Linked DNA regions of Astyanax mexicanus. The protein of the gene in region 1 interacts with the protein of each later gene in a biochemical or structural test. Links are inferred from orthologs where the notes say so. Each region holds a gene or a part of one and is shown in the gene's direction. Other genes may lie near its edges.

Evidence for each region.
Region 2: the proteins of abl1 (region 1) and crkl form a complex in vitro, tested with the Homo sapiens proteins (4 studies listed by BioGRID and IntAct, with this or other methods). The link is inferred for Astyanax mexicanus from reciprocal best matches to the Homo sapiens genes ABL1 and CRKL.

The regions. Positions count from the first base shown.
Region 1 is NC_064408.1:20,980,474-20,987,958, reverse strand, and holds the start of abl1 (tyrosine-protein kinase ABL1), read left to right. Parts: upstream 1-4,436; 5' UTR 4,437-7,039; coding exon 7,040-7,175; intron 7,176-7,485. Other genes in the region: exosc2 (exosome complex component RRP4), read left to right, coding at 66-242, 1,489-1,617, 2,053-2,133. UniProt on the Homo sapiens protein: Non-receptor tyrosine-protein kinase that plays a role in many key processes linked to cell growth and survival such as cytoskeleton remodeling in response to extracellular stimuli, cell motility and adhesion, receptor endocytosis, autophagy, DNA damage response and apoptosis.
Region 2 is NC_064424.1:2,442,022-2,449,894, forward strand, and holds the start of crkl (crk-like protein), read left to right. Parts: upstream 1-4,858; 5' UTR 4,859-6,330; coding exon 6,331-6,641; intron 6,642-7,873. Other genes in the region: med15 (mediator of RNA polymerase II transcription subunit 15), read right to left, coding at 288-352. UniProt on the Homo sapiens protein: May mediate the transduction of intracellular signals.

The DNA.
Region 1 (7,485 bases):
ATCTTAATATTTGCGACAGTGATATTTCAGTTTACTTGGCCTGATTTGTGTTTTTCCATTCTTAGTTGGGACAGGGTGTACTGGTGCAAGTATCACCATCTCTTGTGAAGAGACAGAAAACCCATTTCCACAATCTGCCCTGTGGAGCTTCCATAATCCTGGGGAACAATGGCTTCCTTTGGCTGTACCCTACACCAGGGCATCAAGATGAAGAGGCAGGAGGATACTACACAAGCCTGGAGGTCAGGAGAACATGATTTTATTAATGGTTGAAAACATAATTTTTTTTCAGCATGTTTTATACTGTGTTTAGAAGTCCATCTGTGTTCAGATTTTCTGGTTGATTTTGAAACAATTCTGTTTGATAGGTTGTAATTTGTTTAAGTTTGATATTGGATTCCATCTGTTATTAAATCCAAACTAGAATGAAAGCCTCACCAGACTTTTAGATAAGAACTGTAGGTTAATAGAGAAGTTCCAATATTCTTACTTCAGAAAAGTTTATATGCACAGATATGTTCTTTTAAAGAGGTGTTCAGAGGGAGTTCTTAGCCATATAGCAGCAATCGCTAAGTTTCTAATATGGTCCAAGCTAACTTACACTTCCCACAAGCTAATATGCAACAACTACTCGCTTATGAAAATAGTTGGTCTACAGTGACCCCCACCCCTCTAACTCTCTAACTCAATGTTTTTCTAGAGCTTGCGGAGCCTGCTAAAACCCTGAGTTTTTTTTCCACCTTAAATTCCACCTTAAATGTGGCAGCTTCACCAGCAGTCCCAAAACAAATCGTAGTTTATTTAGGATAACATTAGTGACAAGTTCTCTTTTTTGTCACTGAGTGTTCCTAGAGCCTGCTAGAGTAGTTAACCAAGGTGTGTCTCATTTATATAAATTTATTTCTCACAGGCAGATTTCTGTTCCACCTTAAATGCAGTGGCAGTGACAGATAATCAGTGAAAGATTTAAAAATAATCAATTTTTAAATAATTAATTTTAAGCCTTTTTTAATTTTTTTTGTGACTGATATTGTGTGGAAGTGTTTGAGAATCACAGCTGAGTGTATATTTCCATTCCATACACTGTTGTTATGTTGTTAAATGATAATGTAAAATGAGTAATAGTAAAATTAACTCTCGACTTAATTCATTATGTTAATGCTTAAATATTTTTAATACTGGTAGGATGTATGTTCCTAATACAAGTACCACTTTAATTCCGTAAAATATTTCATATCTGAACAATATCTTATCAAATATATTACATATATTTTAAATAAGTGTTTTCCCTTTTTTTTTATAATCAACAGCTTAATTGATAATCAAAATAATTTAGTTGCAGCCCTGAACTAAACATACAAAACACTTTTTTGTCATATAGTAATGTGGAATGTGTATGTCTATATGATTTTTTTTTGATCAGTTATAATACTGTATACTAAATATACTAAACTAAATATACTAAACTGTTTTCTCTGTGTGGCTTAGCCTGTTGCTCTATCAGATCGCGAGGTCATTTCGAGACTGAGGAACTGTTTGCTGGCCCTGGCAGCTCACAAAGTGCTTCTGTATGATACCAGCGTTCTCTATTGCTATGAATCCTCCCTCTCCCATCAGGTATGACTGGATAGACTGGGTTCAAGTTTTTAATCTAAAACTGTGATCAAACCTTCACTGGAACTGCAAACCATACCATAGTTTTGCCGTTACCAGCTTCTTGATACAGGATTAACTAAAAACTTACACTGTCAATAGTCAGTCTTAATTGCTGCCATAGATATATAGAGTAGTACAGATGACTTGATCTGATTTGCCTTTCTACCTACCAATTTTAGATCTTTATTGCCTATTTTTTGTTTGTTTACTGGCATTTGCCTGAGAATACTCAGTATTTATATCAAAAGTCAACTACTGAGCTCTCAGATCTGCTAATCTGACCAGGTTTTAAGTAGACTCACCTGTTGTTTAGCCACAGATATGACATGTAGCTGTGCTCTAGGTGTAAAGATGTGCATATGTCTTACAAAGTGTTTCTCTGTGAATTTGTTTCAGATCAAGGATATCTTGAAACCAGAGACTATGGATGAAATTGTGATGGAGACACGACAGCGACTTCTTGATCAGGAGGGTTAAAGTGCTGGTTGAAAGCTATATAAACACGAGCACAGGGAGCAGCTGATTTGAGGCAGATAATGGTCATCAAATTCCAGGAGATCCACAGTCCTGCAGCATTCACACATTACTTTTTTTTTTTTTACAGACTGTTAAAGGCCCAGAAACTAAGGAAATATTTAATATGTTAATTTGTGTAAAATGTTTTGATACTGTTTAAACATTTTGTATGAAAAGCTTTGATCTTTGTTTAATAAAAAGTGCAGTGGTTTTAGCACTGTATTTGGTTTAGTTTTTGGTTTAGTGTGTTGGCAACTGCTATGGTTTAAGGAAGAATATGCACAGCATATTAGAAAATTGTCCACAATATTCAGTGTGATTTCACAAGGGGGTGTCAGACCAGGGTTTTTGTATGGCTTCCCTCTTGTGGCCACAATCAGGATTGCACTTAAAACTTTTAAATAATTTTGAATACTTTAAATACATAAACACAGCATATTCTCAGTGTACTGAAAAAAGATTCACATGGGTTGTGGGCTGTTAAGTACAAGGTCAAATGACACTGATTCTTTGGGTTTACAACTAAAGGTATGTTCTTCAACAAAATGCAAAGGAGAGTCGGTCAGTCAGAATTTAAATTCAGTTTAATTGAAGTTTATGTAAAATGTAAAAAACATATTCAAGAGATGTGATACTGCCTACATCTTTTTATATATTCACATCTATACTCACATCTTTGGATGTGAGACCATAAATGTTTTACTTATAAAAATATAGTGTCTGTAATTACAGGTTTTACTAGTAAAATATGACCTTTTTAAAGGTCATAGACTTTTTATTTTGCAATTACTTTTTAATAGCTATAGTAGTTTTGGTGGAGGTGTGATTCAGTCATTATAATGTAGTCAGAATGTCATTATAGATCTGTAGATCTATATGTTATCTACAATTAACATGTCTTCTAGAATTACTACATTAACAGAGTTACTCGTAAACATTGAGTTTTGTATCACTACTGGTATTTATAGACTTAAGCAAAGTTATCAACAATATAAAAATCTGTGTAATTTGCAATAATAATACGAATTTTTTTAAATGCAGAAATGAAATGGAAATCCAAAAACTAATGAAATACCCTTTTTCTAAATCAACATTATAAAATAAACAGTAAATGTCATTATCTTTTCTAAACATTATGAATTTTATTTAAACAAATGGCACATATATTTTCATGGAATGTCTTTATTCTGAGAAAAAGGGGTTTAAATGTCCAGTGTTTGTGAAGAATGAAAACCAAATATTAATTAAAATGTGTCTCCAAACTTATGAGCGGTACTGTATACATATGTGGAACAGTGTGGAACAGCACTGGGGTCTTTGGGTTCAAGTCCCTATCTGGGTGGAGTTTTCATGTTCTCCCTCCCTTCTGCATGGGTTTTCTCCGGGGTCCTCGGTTTCCTCCCACAGTCCAAAAACATGGAGATCAGGTAAAGTGGATACTGTAAAATTACCCAGAAATATGTATTATTCTAAATTGATTTGGTGTGTAAGTTTCTATGTGGCCAGATGTGGATTGGCACTCTTTCCTGAGTAAAATGCTGTAGTGCTCGATGCAGTCCTCCAGGTGGATGGTTGTTTCCGGGTGAGGGTACGCTGTGCGTTATTGGCTGCCACTTCTCAAAGGAGTGTGGATGAGGGCTGAGAATTAATGATTGTGTGTAAAAAAAATATATATATATATTGTAAAGCGTCCTTGGGTTTTTTTTTTTTTTAGAAAGGTTCTGTATAAGTTTAACTAAAGTTTCCAAAAGTCGTTTGAAGGTGTAGGAAACAGTACTTACAGCTTCATCTGTAATTTTCTAAAGAAAATACTTAGTAACATAGTTATGTGTTTTTGACTTTTTCTAGTTATTATACAGAATTTAAACGGCCTCTCACCCAGTTTGTTGTTGCATTTAATTTAGAAGTTCGGAGCCTCAGGCAATTGCTTGGTTTGCTCCTTTTGCAATGGACCTGCTTATGTAAGATTTTGAAATGTATTTCTCTGATCTTGTTAGACATGCAGTATTTATGTGGCAAAAGCCAAGTTTTTTTTCTATTCAATATCTCCAATAAAAGACATCTAGTAACATTTCTCTCTAGGAGGAATTTGTTTTGGGTATGTAACATTTTTTTTTTTTTTGCATTTTTTAAAATAAAAAATACTTAAACCATCCAAAAGTATAGTTGACTGTATTATATGCTACTGGGTCTGAAACTCTGCCCCTCTGTTGGCGGAAGAGGGCGCCACGTGACGTCAAACGCACGCAAACCGAAACACCAGCCCACCTTGCGTACGGAAACATGGCGGCCCCTGCGTCGACGGCTGCTCGCTCAGCATAAACTTCTGTAAAAACTCTTCCTACACTCAGAAATACTGCAGGACATTACGCGCGCCTGTAGCGACAGCTCCTGCCTCAGTCGGGCGGGCGGGTTAGCGGCGGGAACGGGGCGAGCGGCGGTCGGTGGAGGCGGGGGAACGGCAGGTTGTGTGCCCGAGCTGGAGTGCCTGCAGTCGGGCTGCAGTATAGAGAGTTTGGAGCCTCGGAGGGAAAGAGAGCTGAACTCTTCGGATGCGGAAGTTGCGGGAAGGAGTTTCTGACTGTGAATAAAAGCCTGTCGGTGTGAGAGAGCGGCTGGGGACGGTGTTGAGCTGAGCAGGGGCTCGGTGTGTGTGTGTTCAGGCACTGCTGTTAGTGAAGTTTCCAGCTGAGGGAACCTGTTGTTAAGCAGCGCTGAGAGTTAACGCTCGCTGAGGCGGAGCAGCAGCAGGGTGAAGTTAGCTAAGCTAGGGGAGCTAAGCTAACTAACGCTAGCTTTCTGTCTGAGACAGACCTAGAGCTGCTGGATACTTAACCATATATTCTTAACACGTAGTTAACGCTAGATATCTAACATACACATACATACATAAACTCTAACGTTCAGTCGTAGGTAAGTACTGAAAACATGTCAAATTTAATGTTAAGCTGGTAGGAAAAGTCCTGTGAGATTGGGTTTTAAGTCAGAGTAATGCAAGAACGTCTTATAGGTTAGATGGCTAGCTACGTTAACCAGTTCGTCCCCTCAATTTAATTTTTAGTGAAGTTAAAGGCAAAGTTAAACCATTAAAGAGTTAACTTTCCTGTGATTTTGGCTCTCAAGCCAAGTCTCCTAAGTGTCACAGTAATATTATCACTTAATGTAAGTTCAACAGTTTTTCCTCTCAATTTAATTTTAGTTTTAGTTAAGTTAAAGTATTTTAAGGCTAAAGTTAAACAGTTGCACAGTTAACTCATTTGTGATTTTGGCTATCTAGTCAAGTCTGTTAGGATTTTTTTTTTTGGTGCGGTACACCACATTAATATTAGGGCTTAATATAAGTTTAACAGTTATTCCCCTTGATTTAATTTTAGTTTTAGCTAAGTTAAAGTCTGTTAAAGTCCACCATAGAAATATTAGCTAGCCGACTTGTTGTAGCCAGCCTAAGTTGATCAGTTAATCTTTCTAAGTCTATTCAAAGACGTTTTATATTTTAGCTAGTTATCTAAGTCTGTTAAGATTGCAAAATACCAATATTAGGCCTTGATGTAAGTTAAAAATTTCTTCCCCTTGACTTAACTTTAGTTTTAGTTAAAGTAAAGTCTGCTGAAGCCCACCACAGTAATACTAGCTAGATCACTTAATTTGACCAGATGATTTGTGGTTTGGCTATCTAGCCAATAAAAAAAAAAACAATCCTTTTAGTTTTTTGGCTAGCTAACTAAGCCTGTTGAAGTCCACCACACTAATATCATTACTTAATATGAGTTAACCCTTTATGTTCTACCCCTTGAGTTAATTTTGGTTTTAGCTAATTAGGTTTGATGAAGTCCACTAATATTAGGACTTCTTTATAATGAGGTAGCTAGCTAACATGCTCTTCCCTTGAGGCATACTTCCAGTTCCTCCCTATAGACACACATCCAGTTCCTCACTGGAAATAGAAAACCAGTTCTTCCATTGACATAATTAGCTAGTCAATTCCTCCTAATTCTTCACAGTCAACTACTACTGACTTTTTCTTCCTCATTTGGTCTGTGAAATGATATTCAGGGTTAAAGTAAAGTTCCAGGTTGCTTGTATATTGTTAATGCCTTAAAAATATCTTTTATATGGAAAACAAATGAAAGTAACTCTTAAATATATGCAACTATCATTTTAAACCTTTGAACCTACCATATCTTTTTATTACTGCAATATAACTGCAAGGTCTCATACGTTCTCAAACAGTACTGGTTTTCTCCACTTAGTCCTACATGTGCCTTGTCTCATGTATGTGCCTTGAATGGTACTGTGCACCGTGGTGTTTTAATCATAGTGTAAAGGTCCTTTTAATATCAATGTGTGATCTAATAATACCTCAGTGACAGTGCAGATTTTGGTTGTTTTAGCTCTACGTCTGTAAGCGTTTCTTGATGATGCTGAAACTAGTCACCATTCTACTCATTAACACTACTGTGCCCAGAATGTAGGCCTAGTTATCGTTTCTTCATTTTAATGCCTTTATTTTATTTTGGAATGTTTAGTGTTGTGGAACTCTTGACAGTAGCTTATATGTATGTTTTAACATCTGAACATCCATACCTCCAGGCTAGACTTTGAGGAATGTAAGACTGGGGCAATCAATGCATGATACGGACAAAAACATATCAAGTATCTGGGTGTGGGGTCTGCCTTACCACTATAGTGGACACAGAAAAACGTTACATTGGTGTCAGAAAAGGGACTGGGGATCTGGAGGTCCTGACGCTCACCCACCAACGCTGCACCTCGCTTGTTCCTTTCCATCAAATTCAATTTTACCTCTCATCAAGGCAGTGACTAACATCAGCTGTGCTTCACGGCTACGGCCTGGCAACCTGCCCTTATGGGGCAGCAGCCAGGGAAGTCTGTTGGGGACCAAAGGAGACCAAGTCTGCCTGCTCTGAACTTCATCAAGGGTGGCGGGAAGCGGGACTCATCAAGGCATGGCGCTCACAACTGCAACGTGTTTACAGTGCATGGTAAGGATTTCTCAGTTCAGTTCAGTGCTTTTTCTTGTCATTTAATGCATGTTGCAGTAGCTGGAAGGTGTTTGAAAAGTGGAAAATGCTATGAGGCTCTGCATTACTGATATTTTCCAACTTTAGATCACTGCCATAAGCAGATATTTGCCAAACATTGTTAAAAAAAATCTCTGTAATGCATGACCACCTGGTGTAGCTTGTTTTTTTTATGAGAAATAATGGAATGAAATATTCAAAAATAATACATTTTATAAGAAAAAAAAACAATTAAAATAAGATTTGTTACCAAGCAAAACACTGTAAATTA
Region 2 (7,873 bases), on another chromosome or scaffold:
ATTAGGTTATCTAAACTAAGCTAAGCTAACTTCGCTAACCAGTAAGGTATAGCTAACTAGTTAACTTAGCTAATATAACGTTAAGCTAAGCTAGGTAGCTAAAATGCGCCCAATTCGTCCCATAAATGTATTAGCTTAGCATTAGCTAGCGGCGGTATTTAGCTTAGCTACGCTAGGTTAGCTACCCAGTATAATCAGTGACTGAGCTAGCTCAGTTCAGCTAAGGCACTGACTCGGCTGGTAATGATAGTTAATTATTACTACTAATAAATAATAATATTACTCACATCTGCGCCACTACTTTCTGCCGGAATCCCGGACTCCTCCAGTCATTATCCGGGGGAAGATCCATAGCTTCCAGAAGCGTTAGCTAGCTGCTGTTACACCGAGCGGAGTGAATGAACTGCTGATCCAAATCCGCTTCTACACCGTTAGCACGCTAGCTAACCCGGCTAACTCACCCCCCTCCACCCCCGGTGTTGTGCCGAATTCTGGCTCCCCGCCAAAACCCGAGTCTTCCTGCTGCATTATTACCTCCACCTACTGAGCTGGAGTGTGAAGCAAGACTAAGGAATAGTGAACTGCAGGAAAAACACCAAAAAAGAAAATAAAGTAAACTAAAAAGAAAGATAATACAGATAATAAACTTTAAATTGGCTTGAAATAGCTAGCTAATAACGTTTAAAGAAAGTTAACTATAATGTAAGTCTAAAAAATAAAGGACTTTGAATAAGTGTTACCTTAAATTTGCACATTTTAATTAAAAATAGTATATATAGAGTTTAAAACACTCGCCTTAATAGTGGAAAGCAGATGCATAAACCTTTGCATAAAAGAGCAAAAAAAAAAGAAAAAGTGTACAAAAAAGAAAGAGAGAGAGAAAGGGAGAAAAAAAGATAGAGATTCTAGACACAAAGAATTAGAAAAAAGACACTTAAAACAAAATATGTATTTAAATGTATTACGTAGTAATATGAATATGAATGTGAATATTAATATTAATATAGTCGATATATGTCTGTTTTCAACAAAAGCATGTTCTGGCATTTGCCAGTGATTTCTGTAAATGAATTATAACTAATACTTCTGACCACACAGTGGCGCCTAATACCAACTCCTGCTGGAAGGCATAGCAAGGCAAATAATGAAAAAATAAATAATGTGGAGTTTAAGTTTATTCTCGAAATATTACAACTTTATTCTAAAAATATTACGACCTTATTCTTAAAATATTATGACTTTAAACTTGTATTATTACAACTTTGTTATCAAAATATTACGAGTTTATTCTCTAAAATATTGTATTTTACCTATGTGCAACCACTCGACAAACTGTAATAGTGTAAATTTAATAGCTTTGTTTCAGTATCTGTATTTCTTATTTTTAGAAGTGTTTGGGGTAAACGGGATTCTATAAATATTATGGCAATGTTCTTTAAATATCACATTTTTTCCCCCGAAATATAAAAAATATATTGTTATGATATAACATCTTATAATATTATGATACTACAACTTTATTCTCAAAATATTATGACTTTTATTTTATCATATTAAAATTTTTATATCATAACACTTCGATTTTATTTACAAAATATTCCAAGTTCATTCTTGTATTATTAGGACTTTATTTAGCTTATTTAGACTTTAATATTTAGATTTTAATTATGTAATATTACAACTTTATTCTCGAAATATTATGACTTTAGTTTCTAAATATTACAACTTTAAACTTGTAATATTGTGACTTTATGCTCTAAATATTGCCGGTTTTATCTCAAACAGATCTGTGTTTATTTTTTTAAAAGTGGCCCTAAAACACCTTTGTAGGCAGGTGAAGCAGGTGAAGAACCAAATACAATTCCTGCTGTACCGCTGTGTTCACCTGTCTGCAGCTCACAGCTGGAAGCAGCGCGAAAAAACGCGGGAAATTCGAATATTTTGTCAGTTGGTGGAAGTTTCTGACAGGATTTGAGGTAATGCTAAGCTAAGCTATCTTTAAACTAGAACCATAAAATCTATTTATTCAGGACATTTTACTATACATGTGTAAATAACATGTCAAAATTGCTTTTAGACATTATTCCAAACAACTAATTCAATGTTGTTACTCAGTTTATCAATTAACATTAACCTAGTTAAGTTAGCCAACATTTCTGTTAGCTTGTGGCTAACTGATACTGTGGTAACCAAGCTAGCTCTATTCCTAGTTAACCTACCTAGCCATCACAGTTGTTTTTTAAACACATTTCTCTGTAATATTTATGTGTATGCACCTGTAATGGAAATATTACGTTTATTTTTACTATTAAGATAATTGTGGCTGATATAACCTAGGTTTTTATTCACCAGTTTTCTGTTCAGATTTTCCATTCCACCTTAAATGGTGCATTTGAACACTGTAAAAGGTGCATGTAAGCAAAACCCTGTGCAGTATTATGTTTATTATTTTTAGCATTGTGTAAAAACAAAATAAGTAATAGTGATTGCATTGTCTGCTTAGTATGTAACATTGTTACATTTGGTCACAGGTTTACACCCTCATTTAAAATAAACTGTCTAAATAAAACAAAATATCTTTTGAAACTAGTAAAAATATAAAAAAAATAAAAATAAAAATGAACTTAAATAAAATAATTTTAAAGTAGTTTAGACATTTTGTCTCAGTCCAAAAAATGTAGACTTGTTTTAAAAAATAATGGCCGATACTGATATAACTTAATATTTTAGCTGTTATAATTTCAATGGCTCTGTTTGCTATGAAAAAGTCTTAAAAAATCTTAAAATTGTTTTCCCCATAACTGCAGATACAGGAAAAATCATGTAAGTTATAAACATAGGAAAAGAGAGGGTGCAAGTATTGTCATTCACATCACATGTGGTATATGAGGTAGAATTAAATTGTGTTCTCACTGTCCAGTTACACCCAAGTACAATTGTTGAAATAAGATAAAATAAAATAGAATGCAATAACATAATAATAAATCAGATATTATTAGATTGTAAGATTAATACACTTACAACAGTGTAAGGTATATGATTTTTACCCAAAATAATAACCAGAGCCTTCTTAAAAAATGATAAGTTTCTTTGATTTAACTTGTTAAAAACCTCTGGAATATACTCAAAACGGAAGATGGATGATCATCAAAAAAAATCAGAAGCCATCAAACCAAGCTAAAACCAGGGTTATTCCACCAAATATTGATTTATGAACTCTTAAAACTTCATGAATATTAACTTGTTAGGGCTGAAAGCTCTGCATCTTTTTGTTTTTTTCAGCCATTTCTCATTTTTTGCAAATAACTGCTCTAAATGACAATGTTTTTATTTGTAAAAAAAAAAAAAAACTGTTGTCCGTAGTAACTTATATTGAATGAAACAATTTTAATTTTACTCAAACATATAATTATAAATAGCAAAATCAGAGATCAGCACTGGCTTTGCTAATGTTCTCTCCATCATCGTCACCACAGCTCCTGAGTAAGTCGATTTGTTTCCATCTCTGAAAATTGCAGCTTCTGTAAAAACTGTAGTGAGACAATTGATCATTTATTTTTTTATTGTGTTTATACCTACTCTTTTTGGGTAGATATATTTTGGAATTTAGGGAAGAAAATTGGTAAAGACATTCCCCTTGAAAGTAACTATATTTTTTATATTTTTAATAACCCTCTATTTCATTGCAATGAATCATTTATTATCAACCTTATTATAATATTAGCAAAATATTACATACATAAAGCTAAAAACAAAAAAAAAACTGCCATCTTATATATCTTTTATAAACTCTGATTTTAAAATATATTTGCAAACAATTAAGTCAATGGGCCCCTCATTGAATAAAAAAATAGGTAGATCCTTAAATGTTTTAAAGCTTTACAATTTAATTTAAATAATAATAAATATTAAATAAATAATAAGAAAAGATACTTTGAGAAATTCTTGTGGCTGTTCATTATTTTTGCAGTCTTTTCAAAAGATGAGATGACTATGGAATGTCTTCTTTTTTAAGATTATTATTGCAATTCCTCTGTTTTTTTTCTTTTTCTTTTTTCTTTCTTCCTTTTGTTATATATAACAGTATTTTAGTCAGTCATGCTTCAATAACTTTGACTCTATAACATGAACACTGTGAGGACTAAAGTAGGTGAAGAAATAAGTATATAATTCCCAAACTAATTATAATAAATGATTAATTATTAAAATTTAGCTGTCTTTAAAAAAAAGTGTATAACTGCCTTTTTATGCTGTTCTGTTATCATTGTGTCAGTGGCATTTAATAGTCTTAAAATTACAAAAAAAATATTGTGTATCACAATAATTTCTGGGACGATATATCGTCCACAAACAAATCTTATCGTGACAGGCCTAGCTAATAGTTTGCCTCAGTAGCTAGCTAAATTTCCCGTTGCACCTTAAATGGTGCAACAGACAGCAGAGGCTGAATAATTTAAAATTTAAGGTGGAATAAAAAAAAATGGTAATGTCTGCACAATCCCCCCCATTTTCTTTTAGTATTGAGATTTAGATTTATTTACTACATTACATTCGTTTTTTCTTACGTTATTTTGTTGATTTTGTTAGCTTAATATTATGTTACACGAAACATTTAAAAAAATATATTATTATTTTTCTTTTTTCTTTCTTTCGTTATTTAACGTTACCTATCTTTGACATTGCTGATATGTTGCTGTTACTTCTTCTTGTTTCCTGTTTCAATATATCACTGTACCTATTTCTATAACTAATAAAAAAATATAAAAATTAAATAAATAAATAAAGGGAGGAGTGGGGGAGTGTCGTGCCTCACAGGCACATCATTTTCTCGGTTTGAAGCGGCGGCAGAGAGGCGAGAGCAGACCCGCCCTCCAGACGCCATTTCTCCATTTCTCCACCTCACACTATCTGAGCTGACGAGAGGGAGAGGGAGAGGGCTGAAGCTGCCTGATCCTCACAGGGGAACTGAATTTAACGGGACAGAGTGGGTTTTACACCGCTTTTTCGGGTGTCAGAGACGCGCCCGAGCGGCGAGGACTACTTTCACGCTTGAGAACTTTTGCTATTTTGCGGAATCTCTTTTTAAAGTGGAGGATTTGCTCACATTTGTGTGAGAGTTTTAGTGTGAAGAAGACGTGTTGCAGGCCGCCATCTTTGTTACTGCTAGCTAACCTAACGCTAGCGCTAGCGGCACTGTTACTCTGTTACTGAAGTCGGTTAGCTTGCGCTAGCTGCTGGAGTATAGGCGTGGACAAACGCTGTTTTGGGTGTTTTTAGCGTGTGAAATACTGCTGAGGACTCGTTAATGGACGCTTTAACGTATGTTCTGTGTTTTGAAGCAGCTATCGTGATGTAGAGAGCGGTGTTTTTAGCGAGATAATAAATCTTAAGTTTAACTATGGCGAGCTTTTCTCTATCGTGAGCTGACAGTGCTGAGACGGCTAGCTAATTAGCTGCTAGCTTGCTATTATTGTCTCATGAACTAAACTATAAGTTAGTTACGTGATTAGCTGGTTAATCATTGTTTAATTGACGTTTTAATAAACTAAAATAGCTTAGCTAGTTAATGCTGTTTCAGGAAATATAATAATCTAGCTGGCTTATATATTGTTTTATAACCAACTAAAAGAACTACAGTTAATTAGGTTAGCTTGCTAATATTCGTTTCATGAACCAAACTAGATGAGCTAAGTTAGTTTTAACTAGGGTTAAGTTAACTGTCGGTGGCTGGCCAGTATAGTTAAGTTATTTCTTAAACTAAACTAGCTAGATAATATTGTTTTAGAAATTAATCTGACTGAATAATATTGTTTATTATTTAAACTTGCTGGCTGTCTGCTAGCTGTGTAGCTAACTAGGTATTTGGCGGAAGAGGGAAGGGAAAAAGGGGAACTTTAATCTATATTCTCGGTATTCTCTTGATTTGGTGTCACTTAAACTGTCTTTTTTGACCGATCATTTTTTGTAATAATCTAAATGTAATATATATATATCTACCTATTTTAAAGCAGTGCTTATTCTTTGCAAAGCCAGAACACACAGCGCAATTCATGGTAAAGCAACTAATTAACTACTAAGTTGGGTTGTGTCGGTTGCTTGCACTCCTGTCTTGTGAAACGGCAGGTTGTAGTTCATTTTTGTTTTAGCTAAAGTTCAGCTCTTTATTTATAACTAAAGCACGTTTAAAAAGTGTCAAAGTGCTGTAACGTTACAATAAGTCAGAATTAAGGCTAACACTCGTCTTTCTAATTTATTCTATAGCTAACATTTATACATATTGTATTGTTAAGTCTAACCTAACTAACGTTTGCTATTTATTTAAGATCAGACATGTCGTCGGCACGGTTCGACTCCTCGGACCGAAACTGTTGGTATTTCGGCTCGCTTTCGAGGCAGGAGACGCAGAGTAGGTTACAGGGACAAAGACACGGTATGTTTTTAGTTCGAGACTCGTCCACCTGTCCAGGTGATTACGTGCTGTCGGTGTCCGAAAACTCCAAAGTCTCCCACTATATCATCAACTCTTTGCCAAGCAAGAGGTTCAAGATAGGCGACCAGGAATTTGAGCATCTGCCCGCGCTTTTGGAGTTCTACAAAATACATTACCTGGACACGACTACCTTGATAGAGCCTGCACCAAGGTAAGCACTCTACTTGAGGTTGTATTATTAATTATATAGAATTGACTGAAATAAAGAAATATTTTGAGATATCAATTTGGGTAAAGATGATTATCCAACGTAGCTAAGTATTCTTGGTTTCAGACTTCAGCTACAAGGGTGAACATTTCGACCTTCTTTTCCACCTTGTTGGAACACGTTTGCACTTGTCAGTAGGTTCTTCCATATGTAGGTTAGCTACCTCTGAATTAGTGCTGTGTTCATGTACGAACAAAACCTTTGCCATTTACAACCCTACCTCAACTCATTCATTGGAAGATGCAGCTCTGAGTGATGGTTGTGATGGTTTCCTGTGGTTTAAATGTAGAAATTGTACAATATGGAGATATTTTATCGTATTTGAATCAAGCCAAATATATTTAATAAGTATCCAGGAGTTCATCAGTGCTTAAAAAACAACCAAAATCTACATATCATTACAAATTCTTGTTAAATTAGATGATGTGCAACATAACTATATTGTGAGGGGATTTTTGTCCCTATACAGCCTTATATACATACAACTGAAACCAGTTAATTTTTTTCGATTTGTGTTTATCCATTAAAGCACACATAATGTTTACTAATATTGTAGTCACATATCATACACCAGGAACCTCAGGGATGTATGTATAAAATTTTGTAGAATTAAATTTGCTATATTAATGTTATAGTACGTTGTTAAAATATATATGTGTATTGTGTATAATATACAATCACATATATTGGCTAAGGTACCATATTTACACGTTCTGACAGTATAAAGTATTCCTGCCACAATAATAATTCTCAACATTATTGACTAATCATGCACAATGTATTGGCATAAGTTGACTAAGAGTAATTTTTACTCATTATTTTCACGATATTACCCATTGTGTTCAATTGAATGTTTGTGTGTATATATTTAAGAATGATGACATACATCAAAGTATTAATACTAAAAATATTGTTCTTTAAGAGAGTAATTGTGTTATTTTTTATGTTGCTGTATCATCTACTATATAAGTGGCACAAAGTTGTCTTAGAATGACTGATTTAAGTTATTGTGTATTCAGGGACAGTCTGTTGTCAGAAACATTTGTGAAATGCCTAGTATGGGATCTCATTTTGTTTTTGGTGTGTTTTCTGCCATTTCTTTTATTAAAGTTGTTGCATTTTAATACCTGCTATTCCTATGTGATTAGTTCATTTAGTATGTGTATAGACTAGTT